Linked DNA regions of Mus musculus. The protein of the gene in region 1 interacts with the protein of each later gene in a biochemical or structural test. Links are inferred from orthologs where the notes say so. Each region holds a gene or a part of one and is shown on either strand. Other genes may lie near its edges. The genes, in order: H2ax, Ppm1d, Mdc1 and Rnf168.

The links.
Region 2: of the proteins of H2ax (region 1) and Ppm1d, one has a biochemical effect on the other in vitro, tested with the Homo sapiens proteins (3 studies listed by BioGRID and IntAct). The link is inferred for Mus musculus from reciprocal best matches to the Homo sapiens genes H2AX and PPM1D.
Region 3: the proteins of H2ax (region 1) and Mdc1 form a complex in vitro, tested with the Homo sapiens proteins (5 studies listed by BioGRID and IntAct, with this or other methods). The link is inferred for Mus musculus from reciprocal best matches to the Homo sapiens genes H2AX and MDC1.
Region 4: of the proteins of H2ax (region 1) and Rnf168, one has a biochemical effect on the other in vitro, tested with the Homo sapiens proteins (2 studies listed by BioGRID). The link is inferred for Mus musculus from reciprocal best matches to the Homo sapiens genes H2AX and RNF168.

Annotation. Positions count from the first base shown.
Region 1 is NC_000075.6:44,330,819-44,338,455, forward strand, and holds H2ax (histone H2AX), read left to right. Parts: upstream 1-3,896; 5' UTR 3,897-3,943; coding exon 3,944-4,375; 3' UTR 4,376-5,259; downstream 5,260-7,637. Other genes in the region: Dpagt1 (UDP-N-acetylglucosamine--dolichyl-phosphate N-acetylglucosaminephosphotransferase), read left to right, coding at 300-384, 1,086-1,274, 1,745-1,832, 1,998-2,153, 2,239-2,304; Hmbs (porphobilinogen deaminase), read right to left, coding at 5,854-6,027, 6,108-6,194, 6,300-6,353, 6,538-6,657, 6,834-6,872, 7,097-7,210. UniProt on the Homo sapiens protein: Variant histone H2A which replaces conventional H2A in a subset of nucleosomes. Nucleosomes wrap and compact DNA into chromatin, limiting DNA accessibility to the cellular machineries which require DNA as a template.
Region 2 is NC_000077.6:85,322,251-85,330,288, forward strand, and holds part of Ppm1d (protein phosphatase 1D), read left to right. Parts: intron 1-4,613; coding exon 4,614-4,842; intron 4,843-8,038. UniProt on the Homo sapiens protein: Involved in the negative regulation of p53 expression. Required for the relief of p53-dependent checkpoint mediated cell cycle arrest.
Region 3 is NC_000083.6:35,848,740-35,856,777, forward strand, and holds part of Mdc1 (mediator of DNA damage checkpoint protein 1), read left to right. Parts: intron 1-49; coding exon 50-118; intron 119-267; coding exon 268-360; intron 361-1,555; coding exon 1,556-2,266; exon of another isoform or gene 2,267-2,373; coding exon 2,374-2,417; intron 2,418-3,675; coding exon 3,676-5,149; intron 5,150-5,281; coding exon 5,282-5,373; intron 5,374-5,463; coding exon 5,464-5,583; intron 5,584-5,677; coding exon 5,678-5,860; intron 5,861-6,116; coding exon 6,117-6,242; intron 6,243-6,360; coding exon 6,361-6,471; intron 6,472-8,038. UniProt on the Homo sapiens protein: Histone reader protein required for checkpoint-mediated cell cycle arrest in response to DNA damage within both the S phase and G2/M phases of the cell cycle.
Region 4 is NC_000082.6:32,295,383-32,303,420, forward strand, and holds the end of Rnf168 (E3 ubiquitin-protein ligase RNF168), read left to right. Parts: intron 1-3,005; coding exon 3,006-3,944; 3' UTR 3,945-6,060; downstream 6,061-8,038. UniProt on the Homo sapiens protein: E3 ubiquitin-protein ligase required for accumulation of repair proteins to sites of DNA damage. Acts with UBE2N/UBC13 to amplify the RNF8-dependent histone ubiquitination.

The DNA.
Region 1 (7,637 bases):
TTTTTTATAGGTCAATGAAAGTAATGAGAGTATCGGGAATGGCCTGGGTGATGTGAAAGGGGAAGTTAGAGCTGGGCACGGTGGCAAACACCTGTCATCCCAGCACATGGGAGGTGCCCGCCAGACTTGGCTACATAGGAAGTCAGGGAGCAGCAGTGGCAGGGTGGGGTAGAGTTGGTCTTGAAAGTGACTTGGGTGCTGTGTTCCTAATGGCTGGGAACATAAATTAGATACAAATGAGACCAAGGTACACAGCGGGATGCCGGTACTGACTCCCTTCTGTTTGCTTTGCTCCAAAGGTGATTATCGAGATGATCATATCTTTTCCCTTTACTTCATGATACCATTTTTCTTTACCACCTTGGGACTGCTTTACCACAACTGGTATGTAGGCCTATGGATGAGAGAGGAAATGATTGATGTATGTGGCAGAGATGGGCTTGACATAACCCAGCTTCTAATGAAGAGACTAAAATTGCTCATACTTTTGTTGGATATTCTCTGGCTCTGCCATTGGTAGTAGTTTGCCACTCTTGTGTGAGCACAAGCACTCGTCTGGTGTGTGTGTGTGTTTGTGTTTATGAACAGGGTATTAAATCTGAGGTCTTAATGCTAAGCAAGCACTTTAGATTTTAGCTGTATCCCCAGACTTTTTTTTTTTTTTTTTTTTGAGAATAGGGTTTTAGTAAGTTGCCCAGGCTGGCCTTGAACTTACGGTGTTGTCAGGCTGGCCTAGAAATACAGGCATGTGCTATTAGATCCCACCCTTCACCCCACCATCTGCACACCCTCGTGCTGGGGATCAAATCCATGACCTTGTACTCGCTAGGTGACTGCTTGCCCGGTGAGCTACAGAGCAGCCTGGTGCTGGTGTGGAATCCCTGCCTATCCTGCAGGAGTTGGGAACAAATGCTGTGTAGCCCCTAGGAGTAGATGAGTTGGGGGCCGTGGGGCCTATAGAGTTTCTGGAACAGCCTTTCTTTTAGAACTCAGGGTCAAGGCTGGCCTGTTACTCAGAGCGAGTGACTGAAAGAAAGAGTCAGTAACAACTCTTGCCATTGGCTGAAATCCTCTCTCCCACACAGGTACCCGTCCCGCGTGTTTGTGGGAGACACCTTCTGTTACTTTGCGGGCATGACTTTTGCCGTGGTGGGGATCTTGGGACACTTCAGCAAGACCATGCTGCTCTTCTTTATGCCACAAGTATTCAATTTCCTCTACTCACTGCCTCAGCTCTTCCATATCATCCCCTGCCCTCGACACCGGATGCCCAGGTAACCACTCTGGGGCTTTCAAGGGTCATAATAGTTTCTGACTTGGGATAGCTAAAGCCAACTTGCATTTCCTATGTAAAAAAAACATGAGGGGAAAGATGAGCCGACTGTATGTGGGTAGCCCATTGTAATTTACGAAGCTCGTTTACTTACATAGTATGTAATGCTTACAACAGCCCTGATCACGGAGCCAGAAACCAACTCCAGTACATAAGTACTCAGTACTCTTTTTTTTTTTTTTTTTTTTTTTTTTTTGGTTTTTCAAGACAGGGTTTCTCCTTATAGCCCTGGCTGTCCTGGAACTCACTTTGTAGACCAGGCTGGCCTTGAACTCAGAAATCCGCCTGCCTCTGCCTCCTGAGTGCTGGGATCAAAGGTGTGCGCCATCACGCCCGGCCTCAGTACTCTTCTTAGTAACCAGGGTGCAGAGGTCTCTGATTCAGTCAAATGAAATTATCTTCCCATTGCAGACTCAACGCAAAGACAGGCAAACTGGAAATGAGCTATTCCAAGTTCAAGACCAAGAACCTCTCTTTCCTGGGCACCTTTATTTTAAAGGTAACAAGGTAACAGGAGGTAAGGCCCGAGGCCGCCATCCTTAACTTGGGAAAAGAGAAACCTAGGCCTTTTCAGGCCCAAGGGGAGTTTGGGAACATCAAGAAGATCCCTATTCGTGAAGTAGATCTGCATAACTGAAGTCATCTTCACCTCTGGTCCCTGCAGGTAGCAGAGAACCTCCGGTTAGTGACAGTTCACCAAGGTGAGAGTGAGGACGGTGCCTTCACTGAGTGTAACAACATGACCCTCATCAACTTGCTACTTAAAGTCTTTGGGCCTATACATGAGAGAAACCTCACCCTGCTCCTGCTGCTCCTGCAGGTACAGCTCAGGGTGGGGCTTAGTAATGCCATGGCGTTTACATCTCTGGTTGGCCTTGCTTCTAATTCCAGTCCACTTCTCCCAGGTCCTAAGCAGCGCCGCCACCTTCTCCATTCGTTACCAACTCGTCCGACTCTTCTATGATGTCTGAGCTCCCTGACAGCTGCCCTTTACCTCACAGTCTCCATTGGACCTCAGCCAGGACCAGCCTCTGTCTGGTCCGAGATGACCCTCTGGTCCAGGCCTCGCTGACACTTTTGTTCTCAGCTTCTGCCATCTGTGACTACTGATATCCTGGATGGACACCTTGCTGGACTTGAAGTCCGCTAGTTGGACTTTGCCTAGGGCTTTCATCTTGCCTTGCCCTCCCTTTCTGTCCCATCTGCAGCCTCACCAGGTGGGCTTGTAGCCTCTATTATGCAAATATTCGTAGCTCAGCTTTCAGAGCGCTAACTCTAAAGGAATTCACCTGAGCCTTGAGAGAGAACCTGGGCTAGGGCTAGAGTTAGGGCTACATACTCCAAGGTGACCTCACATTTGACTATCAAATGAAGTGTTGTGATTGGGAAGCGTAGAGGCAGGGCCATGTGCTCAGAACGGTGACAATAAAGGACTGCCTTTTACTTGTTCCTCTAGTGTAGCATCCCCTCCCTCTGTCCTTTTTAACCTTCGTGGTGCTTCAGGAGTGAACACCGGGGCTTCCTTATACTTAACTGCTCTACCACTGAACTATATGCCAAGTCTGGTATATTTATTTTTTATATAGGCATTTTAGGATAGATTGGAAGGGTTAGACCGGGTACCTTTCCCAATAGGATACCGATCTCTGTTCCATCAGACCCTTTCTTGCAAAAAAGGCCTGTCACAAACTAAGACCAGACAGAACATGTTGAATAAATATCGCAGCACAAACTTGTGATAGCATAAAAGATCACAGTGCTCCATTTTCTGGCATAGGATTAAACTCCTAGGAGGTTTCATTTCGTTTCTTTTAAACCCTCCCTCCCTTTAATCTGCACTAGGGAGGCAGAGGCAGGCTGATCTCTGAGTTCCAGGACAGGCAGGGCTACTCAGAGAAACCCTGTCTCAAACAAACAAAAGCCAGATGGTGGTGGCGCACGCCTTTAATCCTCAGGCTTGGGAGGCAGAGGCAGGCGGATCTCTGAATTCAAGGCCAGCCTGGTCTACAGAGTGAGTTCCAGGACAGCCAGGGCTACACAGAGAAACCCTGTCTCGAAAAACAAACAAACAAACCTAAAAATAATAATGAACAAATAAACCCTCCGTCTACCAGATTAGAGGAGGGAGTGGGAAGTGCTCTAACCTGGAAGGAGAACGCTGCTTATAGTGTAGACCCTTTTCCTTTAAGACCAAAGACCGACTCAAATTTCCCAGAAACTGTAGAGGTAGCTCCAAGCTCCACCCTTCTAGTCTTCAGGTTTTGTTGTCGCGCCGTAGCGTTTAAATTTCGCGCGCTCTACACGGATTGGCCATTTCCAGGGGTGAGCAGCCTCCGGCTTGCGGCCACTCCGCCTTGTCTTCTTCCCCGGGTAAAAGGTTTTCAAATTGGACCAATCACTGGGCGCGTTCTCTCAGCTAAGGCGCGTCACCGAAGGGTTAATTGCAACCAACCAGAGGTGGGTATTAAAAAAGGAACCAATCAGGAGGAAGCGGGGGCGTGTCCAGGGAGTTTATAAGGCCGGGCTTGGCCGGCCAGGCGACCGTTGACTGCGGCGGTTGGTAGTTCGTGGTCTCTCAGCGTTGTTCGCAGCTCTTCTACCTCGTACACTATGTCCGGACGCGGCAAGACCGGCGGCAAGGCCCGCGCCAAGGCCAAGTCGCGCTCTTCACGCGCCGGCCTTCAGTTCCCTGTAGGCCGCGTACACCGGCTGCTGCGGAAAGGCCACTACGCCGAGCGCGTGGGCGCAGGCGCGCCGGTGTACCTGGCAGCGGTGCTCGAGTACCTCACTGCCGAGATCCTGGAGCTGGCGGGCAACGCGGCCCGCGACAACAAGAAGACGCGCATCATCCCGCGCCACCTGCAGCTGGCCATCCGCAACGACGAGGAGCTCAACAAGCTGCTGGGCGGCGTGACCATCGCGCAGGGCGGCGTCCTGCCCAACATCCAGGCCGTGCTGCTGCCCAAGAAGAGCAGCGCCACCGTGGGGCCCAAGGCGCCGGCGGTCGGCAAGAAGGCCTCGCAGGCCTCTCAGGAGTACTGAGGGGGCCCGCGCCGAGGCCGCCCAGCCCTCCCCACACCTCCACAAAGGCCCTTTTAAGGGCCACCACCTCCCTCACAGAAAGAGCTGAGCCACTTCGGGCTGCGGCGGCTTGCCGCGTCCCCATCCTTTCTCTTTCCCTCCTCTCCCCTCCCCGCCCTCGCGCCACTCTTCCCCTTACCCCGCACGGCCTCCGGTTCTGCCACGGAGGACGCGGGCGCCGCGGCACCTGCCCATCCCGGAGCTCGTGACATCGCTTCGCCGTTCTCGGTTGTGGACGACGGCTCCGTGCGGAGAGGCTGCGGCGCCTTCCCGGAGTCTCGGCCCCTCGCTCAGACGTCCGGCCGCGGTGGGCTTGAAGGTTAGTCCCTCCGCAGCTACAGCCCCGGCGTCTTTGCTTCAGCTTGGTGCTTAGCCCTCGCCTGGACCTTTGAAAAGTGACTTGATTGCCGGGCTTAGAGGAGGAGAAATGGATCACATTGTTTCCTTCGGTGTCACCGTTGCTGGCCTCATACCAGTTGACCCTGTCGCCATTCGTAGGCCAGTGTGGTGTGGCGGGGCCAAAAATGGTTGTAATGTGAACCCAGTTTCTCTAGGAATACCTCCCGGCAAGGGTCAGAGAGACGCTTACCGGCCTGTGGACAAGAGTTCTATACCTGCCGCAGGCGACTGGCAGCCGGGCCTAGCCATCCATCCCCTCTTCCCCAGCGACTCAACTACAACCCAAACACCTAGATACCAGCACAAGCCGGTGAATCCCTGTCTGGACTGAGCCTCTGGCTTCTGAACTGGAACTTTTGCAGCTATTACAAGTTTAGAACCTTAAGTGGGGAGATTTAATGGGCTAATTTTATTAAAGGATCGTTTGGTTTTGTTTTTTTAAAAAAGTGGTTTAATGTTGAATGCTGTAGTCCCAGGGCTGGACATATAGCTCCGTGGTAGAGCCATGTGCCTGGCACATCTTGGGAGAGAATGGGACTTCCCTTTCTGCAGGCCGTGGGAGTGGGAAAGGCTATGTAATCCACGAAGATCCCGTTGACTGAAGACAGGCTGTAGGAATTGAAGGCTGATTTTTTTTTTTTTTTTTTTTTTTTTTTTTTTTTGAGAACATGAGGCAAATCACAGCGTGTTTTACAACAGAAAGGTCTCAGACTCAATTCAAGTTTAAAAGGGCTTTGGGTTTATTCATATCTTCCCCAACTCTATCAGAAGAACCACATTCTAAACTGGTTTATTAGTGGTATTGGTTACATTCAAAGATTGGCATGGACTTTCTCTAAAGAGATGAAGCCCCCAACTACTGAGGGAAAGGCAGATATGGAGGCCCCAAGGTGAGGCATATCTTCCAAAGTGGAAGTCTCAACAACCCCGTGGTTCAATTTCCTGGGATAATCACATCCCTAGGGATGGAGCACAGGGCACTTGGAAGCCAGAAGTAGGCAGTGGAGTGGCAGCCAGGGTTCCTGTGCCCTACAGACCAGTTAGCGCACATCATTAAGCTGCCGTGCAACATCCAGGATGTTCTTGGCTCCTTTGTTGAGCAGCAAGCTGGCCAGGCTGATGCCCAGGTTCTCAGCAGCTAGCTGGGCTCCTCTTGGAATGTTACGGGCAGTGATTCCAACCAGTTGTGGGTCATCTTCTGGACCATCTTCTTGCTGGATGACAGGTTACAATTTTGGTAAGAGGAAGATTACAAGCAGTTCTATTTATTCCTTCCTCATCTCCCAGTCAATACCTGAACAGGGACCTGGATGGTGGCCTGCATAGTCTCTTGCATGCTATCTGAGCCATCTAGACTCCAGACTCCACCAGTCAGGTACAGCTAGGAAATAAAATGTTTGTACCAGGATATTTAAAGAAAGTTACTTAGATGTTTCGGTGCACATGGAAATGACAGTCCCTCCCCTCATCCATTTCCCTGGCTTACTTGCCCATCTTTCATCACTGTATGCACTGCTACGGGCACGCTGCAGCCTCCTTCCTGCAATGATATGTTCCTTTGAGCTCTAAGGGCCTTTAACACCACTTTTGACCACAGACCTCAAGGGGCCAGATCAAGGTCCTCTCCATACATACAAAACATTACATACTGAGTACTTGACAAATCTCTCTCCCTACTGCCCTTCCTGGTTTCCCCACAACACCATGGGAGGAGCCCATCTTACCAGGTGCCTCAGAAAAGCCCTTTCAGCAATGCAGCGAAGCAGAGTTTCAGGATCGTGCAACACACTCACTAGGTCCAAGATATCCTGGTCCTTGGCTCGGACTTCCACGGCTAGGGCTCCCTAAAGAACAACAGGCCTGATCTTCTCTAGTAATAGAGCTAAGCATGAGAAACACACCTCTACCTGCTTCCCTGGGTCTTATGCATAACAACCAAACCTGTCCCTCTCTAAACATCTTATTTGATGGATAGCAGGTGCCAAAGGTTATGAACCAGGTTCTCTCCAGGCAAACCTACCTGACCCACAGCATACATGCATTCTTCTGGGTGCAAAATCTGTGGAGAGAGACAAGATGGTGGGATAGGGGATGTTCAAAGGCAGTGAGCTAGGGTTTGCCAATCTAGGAAGCCTGGGGAAGGCACAGGTAGGAAGTCCAGCAATGAGTCCCAATATCCCTAGCCTGGGCTTCTGGTTGTAGTGTTGTTGGCAGAATGGTCAGGAAGAAATCAAGGCAGGAGAGAGGCAGATTCAATGGGAAGCAGAACAGGGCAGCTCCTACCTGGCCCACCCGGTTCTGCCAGCCCATGCGCTGTAGGCCAGCCACAGCCAGGACGATGGCACTGAATTCCTGCAGCTCATCCAGCTTCCGGAGGCGGGTGTTGAGGTTTCCCCGCTGTGGAGCGTTGCTAAGGAGAAGTCAAGACCTACCCAGTGCACCCTCTGCCCCACAGTCTCTTTTCCCCCCTCTAGCTAACTTTTAAAAAACTTTTGTTTTTGTTGAGTGGTGGTGTATACACCTTTAAATCCCAGCACTGGAGGCAGATACAGATCTCCATGAATTCAAGGCTAAATCTGGTCTACAGAGAGAGTTCCAGGACAGGCTGGGCTATACAGAAAAAGCCTGTCTAGAAAAATGGTAGAAATGAAAAAAAAAAAAAAAAAAAAGCTGGGCAGTGGTGACACATGCCCTTAAGCCCACAATTTGGGAGGCAGAGGTAGCCGGATTTCTGAGTTGGAGGCTAGGCTGGTCTATAAAGTGAGTTCCAGGACAGCCAGGGATATACAGAGAAACCCTGTCTCGAAAAACTAACTAACTAAAT
Region 2 (8,038 bases), on another chromosome or scaffold:
GTTTGTTTGTTTGTTTTAAACATATGTAAGAGAATATTAACGAACAGGTGTAGGATTGCTTTAACTCAGTTATCAAATGCTATAAATAGATTAGTTTAAATTCAGTACTACATCTGAGACAAATTATAACATGATAAAAGTGGCATTTCAAGTGAATTACATTATTTTTAGTCCATTGCAGAATATCTATTTGTTCATACAATTTGCTCATGGGGTTCTTTGACATTTATCTGTGTATGTATTTTGTGTACGTGTATGGATACATGTGGTACAGCAGCTTATGAAGTTCAGAGGGCGCTTTGTAGGAGCTGGTGCTCTTGGCCTCATGGATTCCAGGGACTTGGGGGCAAGTACCTTTGTTCACTGAGCCATCTTTTTAAAAATTTCTCTTCTCTCTCTCTCTCTCTCTCTCTCTCTCTCTCTCTTTCTTTCTTTCTTTCTTTCTTTCTTTCTTGGAGATATGGTCTCCCTACATACCTACATAGCCCTGGTTGACCTGGTACTCTCACCATGTCAACCAGAGATCCACCTGCTTTTCTCTTCTAGACTAAAGGCATTCACCACTATGCCAGACTTTAAATTTTCTTTTTTGAATCAGAGGTCCATATAGCCCAGGTTGCCCTGGAAGTCTGTATGTAGCTGAAGATAATCTTGAACTCTTGATCCTCCTTCTTTTACCTCCCAAGTGCTGATATTACAGGTGTGTTCCGTCAGATCAGGTTCAGAGATGTGATATTAAATAATATTGTTGCTTTGACTGTCTTATTTGCGCGCACACACACCCATTTTATTTTAGGTGAATTTTGAACATGACTCAATTACTTGTATGCTTTTAGTAAATTTTTGTTTTTCTGAATTTGCCTTTTGTTATTATTTATTTATTTATTTAGACACACAGGGTCTTTTTGTGTAGCCCTGGTTGGCTTAGGATATGATATGTAGACCAGGCTGGTTGTGAACTCATCAACTCTCTGTCTCTGTCTCCCTAGAGCTAGAACTAGGTGTCTAGCATCACAGATAACTAAATGTCAATAACAAATAAGTGTATATACTGTCCAGATAGAGAAGAGGACATTGCCTGTATTGCACACGTACCTGAATATCTATGCTGGTCTTACTTGTGTTGTCCCTGTGTGGTGCTGGGTTTTGAATATGGAAGTCAGTGTATTCTAGATAGGCTTTCCTTTTTACTTTCTAGAGATAGTCTCATGAAGTTGCCCACACTTGCTTTGGACTGGTTTGTGTTTTTTTTTAAAAACAAATCTATGGTTTGTGTTTTTTTTTAAAACAAATCTACTTTTTTTTAAAAAGGTTTATTTTATGTATGTGTGAGTACACTGTAGCTGTCTCAGACACACCAGAAGAGGGCATCAGACCCCATTACCGATGGTTGTGAGCCACCATGTGGTTGCTGGGAATTGAACTCAGGACCTCTGGAAGAGCAGTCAGTGCTCTTAACCTCTGAGCCATCTCTCCAGCCCTTGCCTTGAACTGTTGTTGGTCCTTCCACTTCGGCCTTCTAGTAGGTAGGATTAGTTTCCTGCCACTGTGGCTTCATGTTTCTCCTTCCAAGGAGTAACCATCTCTTGAGCCTCCATTCTGTACTGCTTGCTGATGATTTTAGTCGTCTGACCAGGTAAGTTCTGTACATGATGTCCTTTATCTCCGGAGTTTCTGAGATTCTTAGGCATTGTGTAGAATGAGGAGCGCCTCAGGGTTTCTTCACTCTGTGAGCAGTGCTACTCTGGCCATGTGTTTCTGCAGTGATGTGTGGTACTCCTGGGGTGGTTGAGGAGGTCCTGTCTTCCTCCCACATGATACCCAAGTGTCCCTGCAGTGTTCATGCTGTCCTCAGTAGCTGACTGAAGTGTGTGTTGCTTCCGCATTTCCGACCACATGTGCTGTGTCATCCTTTAAGCACTTGTTCTCATGCTGTGTTCTCTTGTGGTTTTTAATTACTATTTACCGGATGACTGAAGAAAACTTGAATGCCTTTGCGTGCTTTTTGTCTGAGTTTTCTCTTTGGTTCAAGGCCTATTTAGGCCTTTCTTTTTTCCTTCAGGTGGCCTGTCTGACTGATTTCAGTTGTGGGGACATTTTGTAGACTTTGTATACGTCAGTGAAGTAGTCTGATTCTGCTCCTGGTAACTTACTAAGTAAACTTGTGGGTACACAAGGAGGCCAGAAGGTGTTGGGTTCCTTAGGGCTGGAGTTAGAGGTGTGGGTGCTGCTGTGACCTCATGATTGAGCAGCAGGGGCTTGTCACTACTGAGCCTCAGTTTACCACCCATTGCCTAATTAAGGAGAACCAATTTATTCCCTCTTACTAGCTTTTCTTGCTTATCATTTGACTGCCCTCTGCAGTTATCCTAGTATAACTGTTTGCTCAAACTTACAGGACTCCCTCATTTTGCTGTGACCTTTACTGTGCTATGGGGTGACTTTTATATTTTGTCCTTTCAGTAGAGTTCCAGTGGGCAGAGTATGTAAGTAAGTGATTCAATCTGCTATCATGAATTTACAGTTGGAGTTTAGTATTACAGAGTTGTTGTAATACTAAATTGTTGTTGTCACTGAATTTAACTAGACAGTATATGGTTTGGAATTGATTTGAGAGTTCTGTTATTTAATTTTTAAGTTATCTTAAGCAAGCTTCTTAACCATGCAAAGTATTTATTTCTTCATTTGTAAGATGAAAATAGGAATAATTTGTTTTTCTTTTTGTTTTTCAAGACAGGGTTTCTCTATATAGTTTTGGCTGTCTGGAACTTAACTTTGTAGACCAGGCTGGCCTCAAACTCAGACATCTACCTGCCTCTGCCTTCTTAGTGCTGAGATTAAAGGTGCACACCACCACTGCCTGGCTAGGGAAGAATTTTATGTCTTATTGGCTTACTGTAAATATTATTTGAAGTAGTACGTGCAAGCTTCTTTGTATAGGACTTTGGTGATGAGTAAATGTTGTTGGGTGGGTGGGGAGATGGTTTAGCAGTTAAGAGCACATCCTGCTTTTGCAGAGGACCTGCCTCAGTTCTCAGCACCCATCAGGAGACTAACAACTGCCTGTAACTCCAGCTCCAGGGAATTTGATGGCCTCTTTTGGCCTGTTTGGGCTCTGTACACATGGTATACATAATTGTCAACCACATACATATGCACATGTATACACACACACACACACACACACATACACACACACAAATGAAAATATGGGAGGCAGAGGCAGAGAGGCCGAGGTAGAGTCTCTGAGTTCAAGATTAGGTTAGCATGATCTACATAGCAAGTTCCAAGCCAGTCAGGGCTACATAGTGATATCTTGTTTCCACCCCCCCCCCCCCAAACAACAACAACAACTCAAGTCAAAACTAAGTAAATAAATTAAAATTACTAAAATTAGAATATTTAAAAGTTGTTTAAAAATAAAACCAAGTGGCTATTTCTGGAAAGATACAAGTGCTGGAATTTGACGAAATGGTATTATAACCAACTGTACTGCAAAGCTTGGTTGTTGCTTAATGGTAAACTTGAATGGCATGTAGGAGGCCTTGGGTTTGGTTCCTAACAAAGAAAACTTAGTATACCTTTGCTTCTCTATGTAGTACATGGAAATAGAAAATCTATCCTGTAATTTTTTTCTCTCTCAGTATTGGTTTATAGTTTTATTATAGTTATTTATAAATTTATTGATTAGAGGAATTAATTTAAATTCTCAGGTAGTGTTCTAGTTAGTTTTATGTCATCTTGGCACAAAATAGAATCATTTTGGAAGAGGGAATCTCAACTGAGAAAAAACCTGACCAGATAGACCTGGACAAGCCTGTAGTGCATTTTCTTGCTTGATGGTCAATGTGGTAGGGCCCAGTTCACTAGGCAGTACCACCCCTGGGCTGGTAGTCCAGGGTTAGCTAAGAAGGTAGGGTGGGAAAGCCAAGAGGAGCAAGACCTCCTCCATGGTCTCTGCCATCAGTTCTTACCTGCCCTGGCTTTGATGATAGAATATAATGTGGAAATGTAAGATGAAATAAGCCCTTTCTTGGGGCTGGAGAGATGGCTCAGTGGTTGAGAGCATTGACTGCTCTTCCAAAGGTTCTGAGGTCAATTCCCAGCAACCACATGGTGGCTCACAACCATCTATAATGAGATCTGGTACCCTCTTCTGGTGTGCAGACAGAACACTGTACACAATAAATAAATAAATCATTTTTTTTTAAAGCCTGTTCTTTTCTACTAATGCTTGTTTTGGTCATTTTTTTTCCCCTTAAGACAGGGTTGTATGTCGTCCTGGCTGTCCTGGAACTCACTCTGTAGACCAGGCTGGCCTTGAACTCAGAAATCTGCCTGCCTCTGCCTCCCAAGTGCTAGGATTATAGGCGTGCGCCACCGCTGGTCATGGTGTTTTATCATAGCAACAGAAACCCTACCTCAGCCAAGTCGATTCTAAGCCTTCTCCCTCCCTCCCTTCACCTCCCTCCAGTTCAAGATGTTTTTCTTAAATTTTTTGCTGTTCAAACTCAAGTGTTAACATGCTAATTCAAGATAAGTTGCTTTTTATATTCCGATAACTGTTCTAATGTGGAGAAGTAAAATATAAAATGTTTTCTTCCTTATTACAGCAGAATGGCCAAAGACTATGACAGGTCTTCCCAGCACGTCCGGGACAACTGCCAGTGTGGTTATAATACGGGGCATGAAGATGTATGTAGCGCATGTAGGTGACTCTGGGGTGGTCCTTGGAATTCAGGATGACCCAAAGGATGATTTTGTGAGAGCTGTGGAGGTGACACAAGATCACAAGCCAGAACTTCCCAAGGAAAGAGAAAGAATCGAAGGACTTGGCGGCAGGTGATCATTTGTTTTGTCTGTCTTATTTTGGTTCTGGTTAGCTAACTGTGTCTACTCTGTCTTTTGTCTTTCTACATCTCCCCCACTACTCCCTTTTAATTGAGGCAAGGTAGTTGTGTAGGCCAGCCTGGTCTGTAACTCACTGTGTAGCCTAGGCTGGTCTTCAGCTTGTTGCCCTTTGCTGTAGTTTCCGCAGGTCTGGGATTATACATGAATCCTTCCTCTTGCCTTCCACTCTCTTTTTGAGATAGAATCTTTTTTTTTTTTTTTTTTTGGTGTTTTTGAGAAAGGGTTTGTCTGAGTAGCTCTGGCTGTCTTGGAACTCAACTTTGTAGACCAGGCTGGCCTCGAACTCAGAAATCCGCCTGCCTCTGCCTCCCAAGTGCTGGGATTAAAGGCGTGCATCACCACGCCTGGCTGAGATAGAATCTTATATAGCTGAGCCTGACCTGGAACTCTGATCTTCCTGCCTCTTCCTCCCAAGTGCTTTGCTGGGATTACATGCATGGGCAACTATACTTGCTCTGTTTTCCTTTTTAAAGCAGTTAATCTTCTAGTATTATGCGGTTTTATTTGCTTGTTGTAAAAATATCACATTTACATTATTATTTTGAATTGCTTTATTGATGAAAATGGCTCTAAATGAGAAGTAATATCTCAAGTAACAATAGGTAAAATTTTATTGAAAGCCTTTCAAATAAATACTGACATAAGACCTTCAGAATCTGCATGGAGCAGAACAGTTAGAGTATGCCATGTGCCTGGCAGATACTATTCTTACAGCTTATCATAATCCTAGATATTTAGAAAAGCATTCTTCTTTTTAAGTCTCTTGGGACATGTATGTATGTATGTATGTATGTATGTATGTATATATGTATGTATGTATGTGTCTACAGTGAGAGAAAATGCTTCATTGACAGAACTGGTATGCTTTGGCATTTTTGCAGAACTCGCAGTGTTTAGTAGGTGACAGCTAGTCTTTCATATCTTCTGTCTTTAGACTGTCATGGAATGTTACCTTTGGTTGCAATAGCTGGTTACACACACATTTCAATGCAATTGTTTGTTTGTTTATTTATTTATTTTGAGACACAGTATGGGCCAGCCTCAAACTCACAGAGGTCCTCCTACTTGTACTGGGACTAAAGTATGTGCCACCAAGCTCCTCCCTCTCTTTCTTTTTTCTTTCTTTTTTTTTTTTTTTTAAAGATTTATTTATTATATGTAAGTACACTGTAGCTGTCTTCAGACACTCCAGAAGAGGGAGTCAGATCTTGTTACAGATGGTTGTGAGCCACCATATGGTTGCTGGGATTTGAACTCCAGACCTTTGGAAGAGCAGTCGGGTGCTCTTACCCACTGAGCCATCTCACCAGCCCATCTCCCTCTCTTTCTTTGTGGTAGATTGTGTGTGTGTTACTTGGGATTGAACTGAGAGTCTTATGCAAGCTAAGCAAGCACCTCCTGCTGACTTGGATTCCCAGTTCCCCATAATCAATCAATCTATCAATCTATCTATCTATCTATCTATCTATCTATCTATCTATCTATCTATCTATCTATCAGTCAATCATATGTAAGTATACTGTAGCTGTTTTCAGATGCACCAGAAGAGGGCGTCAGATCTCGTTATGGATGGTTGTGAGCCACCATGTGGTTGCTGGGATTTGAACTCAGGACCTTCAAAATAGCAGTCAGTGCTCTTACCCGCTGAACCATCTCTCCAACCTACTTATTATTTTTTGAGACAGGGTCTCACTATGTAGCTCTGGCGGTAGACCAGGTTGGCTCTGATCTCACAGAGATTGTATGTGAATGCTTCCTGATTGGGCCACCATACTTGGCCCTCACAATCTTTTAAATTGAGGCATTTTTTTTTTTTTTTTGACATTTCTGGAGATCAAACCCAGTCCTTGCACATGTAGGCAATCTCTGCCATTTAATTGTGCCACTGGTCTTTTCCTGTACATGTTTAATATTGGAAGGCCTTTTGCTTTTTCATTATATTAAGAAGATTTTTTTTTCTTGAGTATTTTCTTATTTTTTTAACTTGAATTTTTAAAGTTATTTGATTTGATTTTTTTTTCTTTTTTCTTTGATTTTTAATCTCATTAAAAAGAAAGAGTTTATAGTTTTTGCCTTTTCACTTAAAAATACCATCTGGACAGTTGGATACATGCCTTTTGCCATTTGGGAGCAGGTGTATTTTTGCAAAAATTGAGCCATTTTATGATAAGTTATTTCCTGTCTTCCCTCAGTCCCAGCCTAGGCTGTTGGCCAGCACTCTTGTTTTTGTAGCCTTCTGTTGATGCGCAGTCAGCTCTCTGCATGGCAGGCTGTTCCTCTCCATTTGCCTTTTAATACAGAGCAACAACAGAGTGTGCGGGAAAAGTAGTATCTTGTAACATTGCTTTGGTTTTAGACTTTTTCTTAAGCAAACAGTACCATTATTTGTCTTGTTTCTCAGACACACAAAGACCATAATATCCTTGCCAATAAAGTATCAGGGGACCTCTCAGTACATTTGTATTGGGGACAGCTCCTGGAATTGCTCTGTGCTGAGGCTCACCTGTCATGTTAGATGTTTAGAGAGAACACTTGGGCTTTAAGGCGGTTGGAAGACAGAATGCTGGCATTCATCCTCAGTGCGATCTCCTGTGTGACGATGTTCTTGTGAGTGGCCAGTTTACTTCATTCTACCCACTGAGCTTCAGCTTTGAAGAAAAGTAAGAAAGCAACCGCCGTTTGTCTTCCACCTCTCCTTGGTGTTAGAACTGAAAGATGAACTTAGTCTCCAAAAGGAAGGTGAACAAGGGACTTTCTGCAACTCTGCTTTATATTGACATTTTTGGATACTCTGTTTTAATGTGTTTCAGCTCAACTGTCACCGTATCAGTGATAACCACTGGCCACATGTGACTGCTTAAGTTTAATAAAAATTAAGCCATAGAACCAGTTCCCTTGTCCTACTCACAGTGTTTTCTAGCCCTGTGTTAACGGAGGACAGGGCAGATTGACCATTTCCTACAGCTGCTCGGCTCTCCTGGTGTGGCCTTTGATTTTATTGCGTTCTCTCTTTAGGTGAACTTGTCTACGGATTCTCTCCCTGTCAGTCTTGTCTGGGAGTGTGTGTACCCGGCTAAGTGTGGAGGTCAGAGGACAACTAGGACATTGCTCCCTGCCTTGTAACACA
Region 3 (8,038 bases), on another chromosome or scaffold:
GTCTTTAGGATGAGAGTTGATTTTTCATCTGTCTCACATCTCTTCCCAGCAGAACCTGAAGATCTGTGCCTTCCAGCTACCCAGTGCTTTGTGGAAGGGGAGAGCCAGCACCCAGAAGGTGAGGACATTGTGTGGTGTGGATGGGAGCACCAGGAAGAGCTGGGTGATGATTACACTGATGGGCCTTGAAAGGCGATGTGGCCAAGTAGGGTATGAGACCCTGGCGTTCTGGGACCAGCTGTGTTCTACCCACCTTTTCTTCGGCAGCTGTCCAGAGTTTGGAAAATGAGCCTACCCAACTCTTCCCATGTACTCTTCCACAAGAGCCAGGACCTTCCCATCTCAGCCTTCAGACTCCAGGTACAAGGAAGTCTCTCTGAATTCCCAACTTTGCCTGCTTTCTTGTTTTCTTCCTCTGCATCCTTTCATATACTGTCTGTTAGATTTACCTATGTTACATGTATGAGTGTTTTGCTTGCATGTATATATATATATATATATGTTCACCATGTGCATGCCTGGTGCCCACAGTGGTCAGAAGAGGTCTTATTCCCTGGAACTGGAGTTGTAAGCTGCCATGTGGGTTCTCAGGACTGCTAGAGCCACCAGTGCTCTCTCTTCAGCCCCTCATATTCTTGTTTGTTTGTTGACAAAGAGTTCCTGTAGCTGAGGATGACCTTGAACTGCTGGTTCTCCAAGGGCTGGGATTACAGGTGTGTGCCACCCAGCTAGGGATGGACGAGGACTTCATATGCTTGCTCGATGAGCTCTCTAACCACTGAGCTGTATCCGCAGACGCACTTTTCATATTCTTTTGTTATTCAAGAAAAGAACCTATACCAGACATGGTGACACACACACTTGTGATCCCAGAACTTGGGAAGCAGAGGCAGGAGCCCAGGGCCATCCTGGACTACATAGAAAGTTTGAGGCCTTGACTGAATGAGACCTTGTCTCAAACAACAACAACAAATCCAACAAAATGGGCTTGGCTCAGTGGTTAAGAGTGGCAATCATCTTAGAGGACCAGAGTCCAGCACCCATGTCAGGCAGCTGGCAACCATCTGTAACAGCACTTCTGGAGATTTCATCACTCTCTGGGTACCCCACACACACATGGTATACACATATACATGTGAATAAAAAATTTTAGAATAAGTCTTAAAAAATAAAATAACAAGTAAAAATTAGATTGCCTAGATTACTCTGATTCTAGTTCAGGAGATTTGGGGTTAACCCAAAAACTCAAAAATTTTTACACTCTACATTCTCTCTGGAGATTTAATCAGGGCTTTATGCATGCCAAATGAGTATTCTCCTAAAATGAGTGTTTTCCTAAACCACATCCCCAGTCCTTGTTTTTCAAATGAAGTTCCTGAGGGAAGCTGTGCGTGAGGTTATAATCTCCTGAATAGCATTCAGTGTTAGAACCACCACCCTACTCCCAGCTTCCCTTTTGTAACCCATGTAGCTGTTTGCTGCGAGCCTGCCTTCGTTCTCAACCTTAGTGCCTTTTTTACCTGTGTACTTATCTCCTTTCTCTCATCCTGTTTAGGTGCAGATACCTTGGATGTGCCTTGGGAAGTCTTGGCTACACAGCCGTTCTGTCTAAGAGAACAGTCAGAGACTTCTGAGCTTCATGAAGCTCATGGATCTCAACCATCTCTGCCTAGGGAACCACCAGGACACCAACATCTGGTTCATACCAGCCCAGTTCACACAGAGCTGTTGAGAATTGAAGGCAGAGAGATACAGACTGTGGAGAAAGCCATGGGTATACCAAAGGAAATGGCAGACAGGATGACCCCTGAGAGAGAGCCATTGGAGAGGGAAATCAGGGGAAGAACAGAAAACAGTGAGAGAGATGTGATAGGAGAAGAACTAATTCAGGGGACAAAGGACAGAGAGCCAAAGAAGGTGTTAGCTAGAGACAGTCAGAGAAAAGAGGCTGACAAGGATCTTGAAGGGAATAGGGAGAGTTTGGAGGTAGAAATAGAGATGTCCAAAGACTCACAGAAGAGAGAGAGAAAAGTAGAGAAACCAGAACCAAAGAGAGAATGGGAGCCAGCTGATTTAGAAGTGACTCCAGATAGAGGGGTGACAGAGGAAGGGAGCCATGATCAGAAAGGGCAAATTGCTAGTCTAACACTAAAGCCTGGAGTTGGGGTGAAGGACCTTGAGGGACTTGCATCAGCCCCAATAATCACAGGGAGCCAGGCAGATGGAGGAAAGGGAGACCCTTTGAGCCCTGGGAGGCAGCAGAGAGGTAAGTGTGAGGCAGGGGAGCCAAGGGGTATGTAGTCCTCATGGCAGTTAGTATCTGAGCTGCGGGCTGCACAACACTCAGCCAGTCTTGTTTTATTCTTTGACTAGGCCGCTTGAGTTGCCAGACGACACCTGCTGGAAAGGCTTCCAGGGTGAGCTGCTTTCTTATCATTCCTCTACAGCCCTTTGCCTAGCCTTCCTTTAATCTTTCTTTGTCTATACTTCCCATTTTCTCACTGCATGTACATTTGTGCATGTTTGTGAGGGTTTGTGTTTAGGGGCAGTGCATGATGAAGGCAAGTGATAGTCTTGTGTGTTGTTCTTCAGGGACTACCCAGCTTTTTTTTTTTTTTTTTTTTTTTTTAAAGATTTATTTATTTATTATATGTAAGTACACTGTAGCTGTCTTCAGACACTCCAGAAGAGAGAGTCAGATCTCGTTAGGGATGGTTGTGAGCCACCATGTGGTTGCTGGGATTTGAACTCCGGACCTTCGGAAGAGCAGTCGGGTGCTCTTACCCACTGAGCCATCTCACCAGCCCACTACCCAGCTTTTTAGAAGGGTGGTGGTGGTCAGGATCCTAAACTGGCTTAGAATATGCTGAAGTAGACTAAGATTCTTGCCAGCAAGCTTCAGGAATTCTCCTATCTCTACCTCTCTAGCATTGGGATTCAAAACATAGCCACTATACCTGTCCTTTTTACATGGGTTCTGGAGATTAAATTCAGGTCTTGGTGTTTGCTTTGCCTACTGACCTGTCTCCCTGATCCCATGTTCCCAGTTTCCTTTTTGTTTTGTTTTGTTTTGTTTTTCAAGACAGGGTTTCTCTGAATAGCCCTGGGTGTCCTGGAACTCACTTTGTGGACCAGAATGGCCTCAAACTCAGAAATCCGTTTGCCTCTGCCTCCCGAATGCTGGGATTAAAGGAGTGTGCCACCATGCCCAGCTCCCAGTTTTCTTGTTCGTCATTTATTAATTGGTTTCCATTCCTGTGTCCTGCCACCCATAGTTCCCTATATTGACCCAGAGATCTCTTTGTGTTTCATCCCTCTTTTGCCCCAGCCATGTCTTAGTTGCCATACACACCTGTGCATATCACTGCACTGAAGTATTAGGGTTAGGAATCCCTTACGGTGTCCAAAAGATTGTTTCCTTCCCCAAGGAGTTCCCAGCCTAAAGAGAGGTCACAGAAAGAAAGGTGCCAGTGAGTGTCCTGTGACCATAAATAGAATCAAACCAAACATGCAAATAGGCCTTTGGTCCCAGCACTTGGAAATTAAGCTAGAAGAGTCAGTGGAGGACACTGAAGGCACATGAGCTATGACTTCATAGAAACACTAAAAAAAGTTAAAGATCCTTGTCCACCTCTTTCTTGGTGTCTTTTGTCAATTGCTTCTCCTCCTTCTCAGGGTGATCCAGAGCCCCCAGACCACTGCCTGTTTTCTTCAGTGCCTGAAGCTTCAACTCAGAGTCTCCTCACCTCTCAGAGCCAAAAGCAGTCTACACCTCAGCCTCTGTTTTCGACCTCTTCTTCTGAGATACCCCTTCCTGAGAGTCTTCACACAAAGCCTAATGTCAGGCCACGGCGGTCCTCCAGGATGACCCCCTCCCCGCATTCCTCTGCTGCCCTTAAGCCAAATACTACCTGCCCCACAAACCAGCCTGCTGCCTCTAGACCAACATCCCGACCCACTCGGGGCAGGGCAAATAGGTCCTCTACCAGGACCCCAGAACTGATTGTCCCTGTAGACCCTGAACTCCAGCCTTCCACCTCCACAGAACAGCCTGTCATCCCAAAACTTACGTCCCAGGTCACTGAGGGCAGGGTACAGATGCCTGAACCACTTCTCACAGGTCCCGAGATCCAGTCTCCCACCTCCACAGAACAGTCTGTCACCCCAGACCGCAAACCTCGGGCCACTCGGGGCAGGCCAAGTAAATCTCCCAACAAGACCCCAGAACCACTTATTTCTACTGGCCCTGAACTCCAACCTCCCACCTCCATAGAACAACCTGTCATACCTAAACCCACTTCTCGGGTCACTCGGGGCAGACCACGTAAGTCTTCTGTCAGGACCCCAGAATCAGTTGTCTCCACTGGCCCTGAACTTCAGCCTCTCACCTCTATAGAACAGCCTGTTATCCCTGAACCTAGGGCCACTCGAGGTAGACCAAGTAAGTCTTCTATCAAGACCCCAGAATCAGTTGTCCCCACTGGTCCTGAGCTGCAGCCTCTTACCTCTGCAAAACAGCCTGTCACCCCTAACCTCACATCTCGGGCCTCTCGGGGTAGATCAAGTAAGTCTATCAGGACCCCGGAACCAGTTGTCCAAACTGGCCCTGAATTCCATCCATCCACCTCCACAGAACAGCCTGATACCCGTGAGCCCTCATCTCAGGCTAGGACACGTAGGTCTGCTGTCAAGACTCCTGAAGCGAGTGTCCCCACAACCCCTGAACTCCAGCCTTTCACTTCTAAAAAACAGCCTGCCCCTAAGCCTACAGCTCTGGTCACTCAGGGAAGGACATATAAACCCTCCACTGAAGATTGTGAATCAGTTGGGCCAGTGGCCCCTGATTTTGAGCCTTCCACCTCTACAGACCATCTTGTCACCCCTAAGGTTACAGATCAGAGCTTAACACTACAGTCTTCACCCCTAAGTGCTTCCCCAGTTTCCAGTACCCCTGATCTCAAGCCTCCTGTCCCCATAGCCCAGCCTGTTACCCCAGAGCCCATTCCACAAGCCAATCACCAAAGGAAACGAAGGGCTGCTGGGAAGCAGGGTTCCCGCACAGTCCCTCTGGGTCATAAGTCTTACTCTGCCCTCTCTGAACCTGAGCCCCAATCTTCAGCCAGCCAAAGCTCAGGAGCATCAGAAGCAGGTGAGTCAGTTACAACCACTCTTGAGCCTGCCATGCCCTTGATGCATAATGAAGCAGCTGGGAGCTCAGGGCCCATTCCTAAGCCCCAGCCTAAGGCTTCTCAAAACTGAAAGAAGCGTTTCACTACCACAGACTCACCCCGTCAAAAACGTCCCAGAAGACAAGCCTCCCAGAAAACTGTAGTCATCAAGGAAGAACCTGTAGAAACAGAAGTGAAGGAAGAGGTGAGAGGAGAGCTGAGGGTGGGGTGGGGATGTCCCTAGCTAGGAGCAAGAGCTACAGAGCTCAGGAATTCTCACTGAGATGCTTTTCAGCCTCAAGAGACTGCAATTCCAACACCAGAAAAGAGAAAGAGGGACCATGCAGAAGAAGTGACCCAGGGAAAACCAACTCGAAGCCGGCGAACTAAACCTAACCAAGAAACAGCCCCCAAGGTAGAAAACAAGGTGCTGGGGATTGAGAGATGGGTGCTGCTAGTGTGGGTTGCTGTGACCATCTTTATACCATACCCCGCTCCCCCCCCCCCAGGTACTGTTCACAGGAGTCATGGATTCTCGTGGCGAGCGTGCAGTGCTGGCTCTGGGAGGCAGTCTGGCCAGCTCAGTAAATGAGGCCTCCCACTTAGTTACTGATCGCATCCGCAGGACAGTCAAGTTCTTGTGTGCCCTGGGGAAGGGAATTCCCATCCTGTCCCTGAACTGGCTGTACCAGGTGAGAAGCCAGGAGATGACGAATGGCTGGAAAGGACTGCTCACCTAGCAGTGGGGAAGTAGTGGGAGGGAGGAGATGGAGAACTGGGTTAGCGAAGCAGTGGGCTGCTTTGAGAAGATACAGGGCTGGGATGACTCAGTACCAGAGCACTTGCCTAGCATGCTTGAAGTCTTGAGGTCAATCCTCAGCACTGGGAAGGACAAACAAGACACAAAACAGTCACTTCAGATAAACAACAGTTCTGCCTGTTCCTTAGTCCCGAAAGGCTGGTTGCTTCTTGCCGCCTGATGACTACTTAGTGACTGATCCTGAGCAAGAGAAGAACTTTAGCTTCAGCCTTCGGGATTCCCTGTGCCGGGCTCGGGAACGAAGACTGCTGGAGGTAAATAAGAGTCTGTCTTCTGCACCACGCTGCCGTCCTATCCCCTGGAGCTCTTAGAGGTTTCCCAGTGCCTTTGGCCTGTCACTGCAGGTGTCTGTCTCCATCATTCCTCTCTTAGGACTATGAGATTCATGTGACCCCTGGCGTGCAGCCACCCCCCCCTCAGATGGGCGAGATCATCAGTTGCTGTGGAGGCACTTTCCTGCCCAGCATGCCTCACTCCTATAAGGTATGGCAAGCATAGGAAGTGGGAACAAGAGAGGGTTGGAGGAATGATGGAGGGAAAGAGGAACAAGAATGAGGGAAGAGAGGAAGAGGTGCTGGCCTCAAAGGGACTCGGTGTTGTTGTTTTTTTGTTTTTGTCTTGTTTTGGTGTCAGGTACTTATTTTTTTATTTTTTATTAGATATTTTCTTTATTTACATTTCAAATGCTATCCCAAAAGTTTCCTATACCCCTTCCCCACCCCAGCCTCAGTGTTGTTTTTAAGGTTTAAACATTTTCAAGCAGCCAGATATGGTGCTCCACATTGGCAGTTTAGCACATGGGACTTGAAGCATGAGGAGAAGTTCTAGGTATATACTCATGGAAGCCCCTGGGACTGCGTGTCCCTTTCTTTTTTTTTTTTTTTTTTTTTTTTTTTTTTTGGTTTTTCGAGACAGGGTTTCTCTGTAGCCCTGGCTGTCCTGTCACTTTGTAGACCAGGTCACTTTGTAGACCAGGCTGGCCTTGAACTCAAGATCCACCTGCCTCTGCCTCCTGCATGTCCCTTTCTTACTCACCCCCACCCCCACCCTAACATTTTTTTAAGTCTATTTTACACACAGAGAAGAGGGGCTGGAGAGACAGCTGTGGTTAGGAGTACTTGCTGCTCTAGCATGAGCACAAGCGTTTGCATCCATCACCCACAGAAGGGCTCACAAGCATTGTAACTCCAGCAGCCAGGAAGTCAGAAGCCTTTTTGGCTTTCTTTTCGTTTAAGTGACTGATTAATTTATTAAGATTTAGTTATTCGGGGCTGTAGCGAACGGGGGCCAGAGCAAGTGGTCTGGAGCAAGAGGGAGAAGGAAAGGGGGGCTGGGAGGGAAAAAATTATTTATTGAGCTGGCCATGGTGATGATCCCAGCACTCAGGAGGCAGGGGCAGGAAGATCTCTGAATTTGAGGCCATCCTGGTCTACATAGCAAGTTCCAGGACAGCCAGAACTGTGTCTCAAAGAAAAAAAAAAAGGAAACAAAGAAAAAGACTTATTTTGTGTGTGTAGATGTTTTGCCTGAACGTATGTCGGCACTATTTGTGCACCTTGTGCTGGTAGAGGGCAGAAGAGAGTAGAGGGTATTGGATCCCCTGAGACTGGAGTTACATATTGTTGGGAGCTACCATGTAGATGGTGGGAAGCAAGCTTGGGTCAAAAATAGATAGATATACTTTGCTTTGCGCCCATAGTTAATAGTTTCAATAATGTTACACTTCTTTCTTTTTTTTTCCTTCCTTCCTTCCCTTTTTTTTTTTTTTTTTCTGTAGTCAGGCAACCTTTTTTTGTTTGTTTGTTTGTTTGTTTGTTTTTTGAGACAGGGTTTCTCTTTATAGCCCTGGCTGTCCTGGAACTCACTCTGTAGACCAGGCTGGCCTCGAACTCAGAAATCCGCCTGCCTCCGCTTCCCGAGTGCTGGGATTAAAGGCGTGCACCACCACGCCCAGCTTCCAGGCAACCTTTTAATGCAGTTCCTTATGTTATGGTGACCCCCAATCATAATATTTATTTATTTATTTATTTATTTATTGTTTTTTTTTTCG
Region 4 (8,038 bases), on another chromosome or scaffold:
TTTAACTTTGGTACCTCGTATCTGTCTAGAAATTTGTCCATTTCATCCAGGTTTTCCAGTTTTGTTGAGTATAGCCTTTTGTAGAAGGATCTGATGGTGTTTTGGATTTCTTCAGGATCTGTTGTTATGTCTCCCTTTTAATTTCTGATTTTGTTAATTAGGATGCTGTCCCTGTGCCCTCTAATGAGTCTGGCTAAGGGTTTATCTATCTTGTTGATTTTCTCAAAGAACCAGCTCCTCATTTGGTTGATTCTTTGAATAGTTCTTCTTGTTTCCACTTGGTTGATTTCGCCCCGGAGTTTGATTATTTCCTGCCGTCTACTCCTCTTGGGTGAATTTGCTTCCTTTTGTTCTAGAGCTTTTAGGTGTGTTTTCAAGCTGCTAGTGTGTATTGATTTATTTCTAAAGAGATTTTGAATTTTTTTTTTTCCTTTCAAAAGAGACATGCTTTCTCTGTGTTGCCCTGGCTGTCCTGGAACTGGCCTTGTAAAGACCGTCTGCCTTTGTCTCCTAAACATAGGCATATGTGCTCAAACATAGGCCAGATTTGGCTTATGGGCCATGGTTTCTTTTTTTTTTTGTTTGGTTTTGTTTGTTTTTTCTGGACAGGGTTTCTCTGTGTGTTCCTTTAGCCATCCTGGAACTTACTCTGTAGACCAGGCTGGCCTCAAATTCACAAAGATCCGACTGCCTCTGCCTCCTGAGCTCTGGGATCAGAGGTGTGTGTACCACAACTGCTTGGCTGGGCCATCATTTCTAATCTCTAACATAAAATTTACACAACTGAACAGGTTACATGTGGCTCCTGTTTACCTAGGAGACTTTCAGATGCAAAGTAGTATATTTTAGGAGGGCCTTGTTAGCCAGGTATATCAAGGAGGAGTCCTTACAACTGAGACGCTAAGCAGCAGCCAAGCAAGAATGTGGTGTCACTCAAACCCCATGTGGTGTGGGCCTATAATCCTTTCACACAGGAAAGAAGATTATGAATTGAACTATATAGCAAGTTCCATGCCAGTCTAGACTACATGGTAATACTCTGTTTCAAAAGTCAATTATTTCTGGTAACATCCCCAGTATACAGCTCCAAGGGGTCCTGGTAAAGAACAAACTTAGAGTTGCTTTTTGTTGTTGTTTTGTTTTGTTTTATTTTATTTTTAAAAAGTCACTTCAAGGGGCTGGAGAGATGGCTCAGTGAGTAAGAGCACTGACTGCTCTTCTGAAGGTCCTGAGTTCAATTTCCAGCAACCACATGGTGGCTCACAACCATCTGTAATAGGATCTGGTGCCCTCTTCTGGTGTATCTGAAGTCAGCTACAGTGAACTTACATATAATAATAAATAAATTTTTAAAAAAAGTCACTTCAAGGTTTGGCTTTAAAAAAAATTTGTGTATTTTGCCTGTATGTATGTATGTATATATGTATGTATGTGTGTGGTGCCTGTGGAGTCCAGAAGAGGGCAACAGTTCCCTTGGAACTGGAATTACAGATAGCTGTGAACTGTCATGTGGGTGCTGGAAATTCAGTCTAGGTCCTCTGATGTACAGCCAGTTTTCTTAGCCACTGACTCATCTCTCCAGCCCTGCCTAAGAGCTAAGTAAAAAAAGAAAGTGTGTATTTCTGCTAGTCTCTCATTTAGTGTTCCTTTTAATGTTGAATGTAGACAACAAACGACAGTACTAGTAATAGTAGTTGTGGCTCTGTCACTGAGAGAAAACACGGGTATTGTCTAGGAATGGTAGCATAACCAGGGCTTGAGAGAGCCTAAGAAACAGTGGTTTTGGAAGTGTAAATCAGTAATACAGTCTGTATATAGAGTGAGCTCCAGGTTTGATTCCTATCACCAAGGGAAGGAAGGAGAAGGGAGAGGAAGGGAAACATATTTGCTACAAATTTTTTTAATAATTCTCTCTTCCTTAATATACAAATAATTCAGTTTGCTAGTATATCTTATCAAATGAAAACCTTTTGTGGGTTAAGAAATTAAACAAACAGGCTGGAGAGATGGCAGAATCTCTTGTCCAAGAGTCTCACATCAGTTTGCTAAACTGTCAGACCCTATCTCAAAAAAGACATCTCACCTGTGGTGGCGCATGACTTTAATCCCAGCACTCGGGAGGCAGAGCAGGCAATTTTCTGAGTTCTAGGCCAGCCTGGTCTACAAAATTAGTTCCAGGACAGTCAGGGCTATACAGAGAAACCCTGTCTCAAAAAACAAAAAGGTGGGAAAAACAAAACAAAACAAAAACAAAAACAAAAAATTCTCCTCAGAATAGGTCTTTGTAGACACATCATTAAAATACTCAAGAAGGGCTGGAGAGATTTCTTGGTTTTTTAAGATCACTCACTGCTCTTTTGGAGTGCCCAAGTCTGGCTCATTTACATCAACTGCTGTAACTCCAGCTCCAGGGACTCTGGACATTTTCACTCATGGTCATGCATTCCTCCCTTCCTCCCCAATATATACACATAATTAAAAATAAAATCTTTATAATGTCAGAGAAGGTCCATAGCACGTACAGGTCAACACACTCTGGACCAGAAGCTTGTAAGGTGAAAGAGGCCATGTCCTGATGCCAGCTATTGGCCATATGTTAAACATAATTAAAGCTACTGTAGGTTTCCATGTCAGTGAAATGACTTGTCCTGATCTTACTTGGCACACCAGGTAAAAAAAATAAAGTTAAGAAAGAATTATGGCTGGGCAATGGTGGCGCACACCTTTAATCCCAGCACTCCGGAGGCAGAGGCAGGCGGATTTCTGAGTTTGAGGCCAGCCTGGTCTACAAAGTGAGTTCCAGGACAGCCAGGGCTATACAGAGAAACCCTGTCTCAAAAAACAAAAAACAAAAACAAAAAAAAAAAAGAAAAGGTGGGTACAGTGGTGATGAGAATCCCTCATTAGTAATATGTGATCGTGTCTAGTGACCATTCATCTAAGAGATGAGTGTAGCTGGCTTATACGTTTTCTCTATATATACTCAGGAGTTTTGTTTTCTACAGGAAACTGATAGGAGTGACACGAAGAGCCCTGTGTTGCAAGACACAGAAATTGAAAAAAATATACCAACACTTTCTCCTCAGACCTGCCTGGAAACTCAAGAACAAGGTTCGGAGTCTTCTGCAGGGATACCCGGGCCACAGTTATGTGTAGGAGACACTAAAGAGTCCCTTGAGGGAAAAGTTGAAACAGTATCAACCAGTCCTGATGATTTATGTATTGTAAATGATGATGGACCTAGAGCCACAGTTTTTTACTCTAATGAAGCTGCAGTTAACTCTTCTAGTAAAATAGAAAATGAAGAATACTCTGTGACAGGTGTGCCCCAGTTAACTGGGGGCAACAGAGTTCCAACAGAGAGTAGAGTGTATCACTTACTAGTTGAAGAAGAGATTTCCGACAGAGAAAACCAGGAATCTGTATTTGAAGAAGTCATGGATCCATGTTTTTCTGCAAAAAGAAGGAAAATATTCATCGAATCCTCCTCAGATCAAGAAGAAACAGAAGTGAATTTTACACAAAAACTGATAGATTTGGAACATATGCTTTTTGAGAGACATAAGCAAGAAGAGCAGGACAGATTGTTAGCATTACAACTTCAGAAAGAGGTAGATAAAGAGCAAATGGTGCCAAACCGGCAGAAAGGATCCCCAGATCAGTACCAGCTACGCACACCCTCACCCCCAGACAGGCTGCTGAATAGACAAAGGAAGAATTCCAAAGATAGGAACTCCCTACAGCAAACTAATGCAGATCACTCAAAATCTCCGAGGAACACAAAAGGTGACTATTGGGAGCCCTTTAAAAACACATGGAAGGATTCAGTTAATGGAACAAAGATGCCAACTTCTACTCAAGATAATTGTAATGTATCTAAAAGTGCCTATACCGTACAGCATAGAAAGTCCCAGAGAAGCATTGTTCAAATGTTTCAGAGATAACCAAGCAAAGCATGGGGAAAGAGTTCTATAATCCAGAAATGATGTATTGCAAAGCTAGCTCTTCTGTCCTAATATCCTGAGATGTCTCACATTCTGCTCAGCAAGCTTGCTTACTCTCTGAGGTTTGGTTACAAAGGAAGAATTTACAAATGTGTTTCTACAAAAGACGGCTAGTAGGAAACAACCTTGGGAATTGTTTCCATTGTCAATAACTGCAGTGTTCTAAGTGTGGCATCTTTACAGGTATAAAAACACCTTGGTCAGTACATCTTCAGGTGCCACTTCCCTTTCCAAAACTTTTATAGCCTTTTTTTTCCCTCTTTTTTTTTTTAAATGAATGGGTAAGGAGTCCACACAGGTATCTTCCATAACACTAATTAGTTCCCTTCATAGTTTTAATTCTAAGCATTTTAGCATTTCCTTTGAATTAAAATAGGTAAGTATCGGACTGGAGAGATGGCTCAGCGGTTAAGAGCGCAGACTGCTCTTCTGAAGGTCAGCTGCTCTTCTGAAGGTCGCAAGTTCAAATCCCAGCAACCACATGATGGCTCACAACCATCCATAATGAGATCTGATGCCCTCTTCTGGCCTGTCTGAAGACAGCTACAGTGTACTTACATATAATAAATAAATCTTTAAAAAAAACAGGTAAGTATCAACATCAATTAGTTACAGAATAGCTGCTAGATTGTTTGTTTTTTTTAAAGATTTATTAAAAAAAAAAAAGCCGGGTGTGGTGGCGCACGCCTTTAATCCCAGCACTCGGGAGGCAGAGGCAGGCAGATTTCTGAGTTCGAGGCCAGCCTGGTCTACAGAGTGAGTTCCAGGACAGCCAGGGCTATACAGAGAAACCCTGCCTCAAAAAAAAAGAAAAGAAAAGAAAAAAAAAAGATTTTATTATTATACATAAGTACACTGTAGCTGACTTCAGACAGACCAGAAGAGGGTATTAGATCTCATTACGAGTGGTTGTGAGCCACCGTGTGGTTGCTGGGATTTGAACTTAGGACCTTCAGCAGCACTCTTACCTGCTGAGCCATCTCTACAGCCCCACTGCTAGATTGTTAATGCAAGGGTTTAAGAGTGGCATGGGCTGAGTGGTGGATTGGTAGGTAGGGAATCCCTGGAACTGAATGGGTAATCAGAAACTGGGTCCAACATGGACTTCAGGCTTCTTGTAGCAGAACATTCTCTTTAATCCCTTTAAGTGGCAGAAAATATTTAGAGTTTACAGCTTTTCCCTCCATGGCATCTTGGTGTGAGAGGGCGAATTGGTATATTTTTACTGATCTTGTCTAGAAACAAATAAATTATTGTAAGAAAATGATACTACGCTCTGCTGTCGAACACCTGGCTTTACCATCCTCGCTGCTTACTGGCTCAGACACATGCTTGTATGTGCGCACAGATGGAAAATGGTGTGGGTTTGTCTTGCATTACCCTGGGATCCAGACGAATCTTGTCAAGTTGAGCTTCTATCTTTTGTTAAGACAACTTAGCAAGCTGTAGTTTCAGTAGATTCTCTTCTGGTGTCTTGGCTCCATTTATTTCCTGTGAACATAATAAACTGTCCTAATGCAGTGTTTGGCTTTTTCCACATTTTTGTCATTTGAATTTTTTCTTCCGAGTTTTAAAACTTTTTTTATGTTTATCTTGGCAATTTTTTTTTCCTCTAAAAGCAATTTAACTTAATGCTTTAGGAAGATAGTGATGGGACTTCAAATTAGATATTATCACATTCAATCTTTGTGAAATAGTTCATGACCAAAAAGGGACTAAGAAGAACATTCCTGTATGGTATAGTGAGAGTTTATATATTTACCACCAGTTTGTCCGTGGGCAATCATCCTGATTGAAGTTGTTTTCAGGTTTTTAGTTTCTCTGTTAGCTCTCTGTTATTCTTACTGTTGATACCTTTGTGTTAGCATTAGATTTTTTAAATTGGTCATTAGTGAACTGCTTTTTCCTCATTTTTGTTGGAAAATATTAGAGTATTAAAGCTGTGCAGATTTGAAAAAAAGATGCCTGGCATGATGGCACAGCCTAATTCCAGCATGTCAGAGGCAAGGGCATCTCAGTTCTTAAAAAAAAAAATTAAAAGAATGATTAATAAAAATTGGCTCTCATGTTCATTTTACTACACTTTAATAAAAAAATGGCTACAAACCAGGCATGGTTGTACATGCAAACCTTATCAAGGCTAAGGCAGGATTTTGGTGGACAAACTGGGCTGCATTCTCTCTGAGTTAAATTCCCAGCCCAAATGAGTGAAACTGTCTCAAAAGCCAAAACAAAAATAGGCTACATAAAATTTAGCCTATGGGTTATAACAAAATTCCATGAAACTTAACATAGTTGCTAGGCTTAGTGCCATACTCCCTTTATCCCCCAGTGGTGTTTGTTTGTTTGAAGATTTATGTATATGAGTACACTGTCACTGTCCTCAGACACACCAGAAGAGGGCATAAGACCCCATTACAGATGGTTGTGAGCCACCATGTGTTTGCTGGGATTTGAACTCAGGACCTTCGGAAGAGCAGTCTGTCTCCGCTGAGCCATCTCTCCAGCCCCATGTACCCCACTCTTGTAAGTCAGGCAGGCAGATCTCTGAGGTAGAACGAAGACTGGTCTACACAGTGAGACCCTGTCTTTGCGTTCATTCATTCATTTATCGTGAGGGTCAGCCGCTGTGTGCTGCAGCGTGTTTGAGGAGGCTGTGGCACTGCACTAGTAAACCATCTGGCTGCTCCCACACAGCATTTTTAGTGAAGTTTTAAGCATCAGGGTTAAGAGAAGGTAAGGCCCACAGGAAGAAAACATAAGAGCGTCTCAAAGAGTCAATCTCTCTTAATACTTTGGAATTCTGAATCATGCTAAAAATATCTAGTCAAAGTAGCCTTAAATGTCCTTAAAATATTTCATGGTGTTCGTAAAGCTCAGCCTGTACTACTACATGTGACTTTGCTCTTGTTTGGCTTTTTAATTGTTTTTAGGGTATGTTATACATACATGTTTGATGTATGTAGTGTATTTTGATCCTACTCATTCGTCCCAGCTCCCCTCTTAACAGTATAGCATAATCTGGCCTTGAATTTCTGCTTTTTCAGCATCAACCACCACAACCAGGTAGCTTTTAAATTAGAATTTTAAATTAGAATTTTTCAGCATGGAAAAATTAGAACATTGAAAAATTTTTGGATTATTTTGCTTTGATTTTTGTTTTGTTTTTTCATTTGAAACAAAATTTGGGCTTTCCGGGTAGGATTGCGGCAGACCTACAGTCCTACTGTGGACTCAGAGAAAAACTGCATTGAAAACCATGCAAGGCAGTGTGGTGGGGCAGGCCTCTAATACCAGCACTCAGGCAGCTGGAGGCCAGCCATACATAGTCCCAGGACGGTCAGGACTACACAGAAACCCTATCTTGGGAGGAAAAAAAGAGGCTGGAAATCGAGCACAGTGGTTGAGTACTTGCCTGACAGTCCCAAGGTCTTAGCTTCAATGCTTGTCAACGTGGGGGTAGGGGCAGAGTGGTGGAAGGACCTATTTCACAGCTTAGCATGGACAGGAAGATTTCTAGTTCTAGGAAGAGTTCTAGGCTACATGGAGTAAGCCAGCCTGAGATTTATAGCTTCTCTGCCCTGGAGTTCTCCTTTGGCCAGCATCTCAAAAATACCAACTGAACAACCTCCCCACAGTTAAATAGACAATAACAACTGCAGAAGAGAGAAGAGCCTCTGGTGGAGCTACCTGCATTTGGACAGGAAGTTCATTGGGTGCAGCTTTAGTAAGCCCATTCTGGAGTGAGCTTTTCAGTGAGGGTGTCTGCAGCTTCCTTGAGTCACCAGGTACCTGAAAGCAACCCCTGGTTAACAAAACAAAAACCAATGAACAAAGCACTAGGTGTGGTAGCCCATGCACTTAATTCTAGTGTTCCTGAAGTAGAGCCAAGTAGATCTTGCAGAGCTCTAGGCCATCCTTGTCTCCATAGAGATTCCAAGCCAGGAATGTAAGGAGTCCAGGTGTAAAACTCCAGGGAGCCATAGATTACCGGGGACCCCCTGAGTGAACCACATGGAGCCAGGATCAATGCA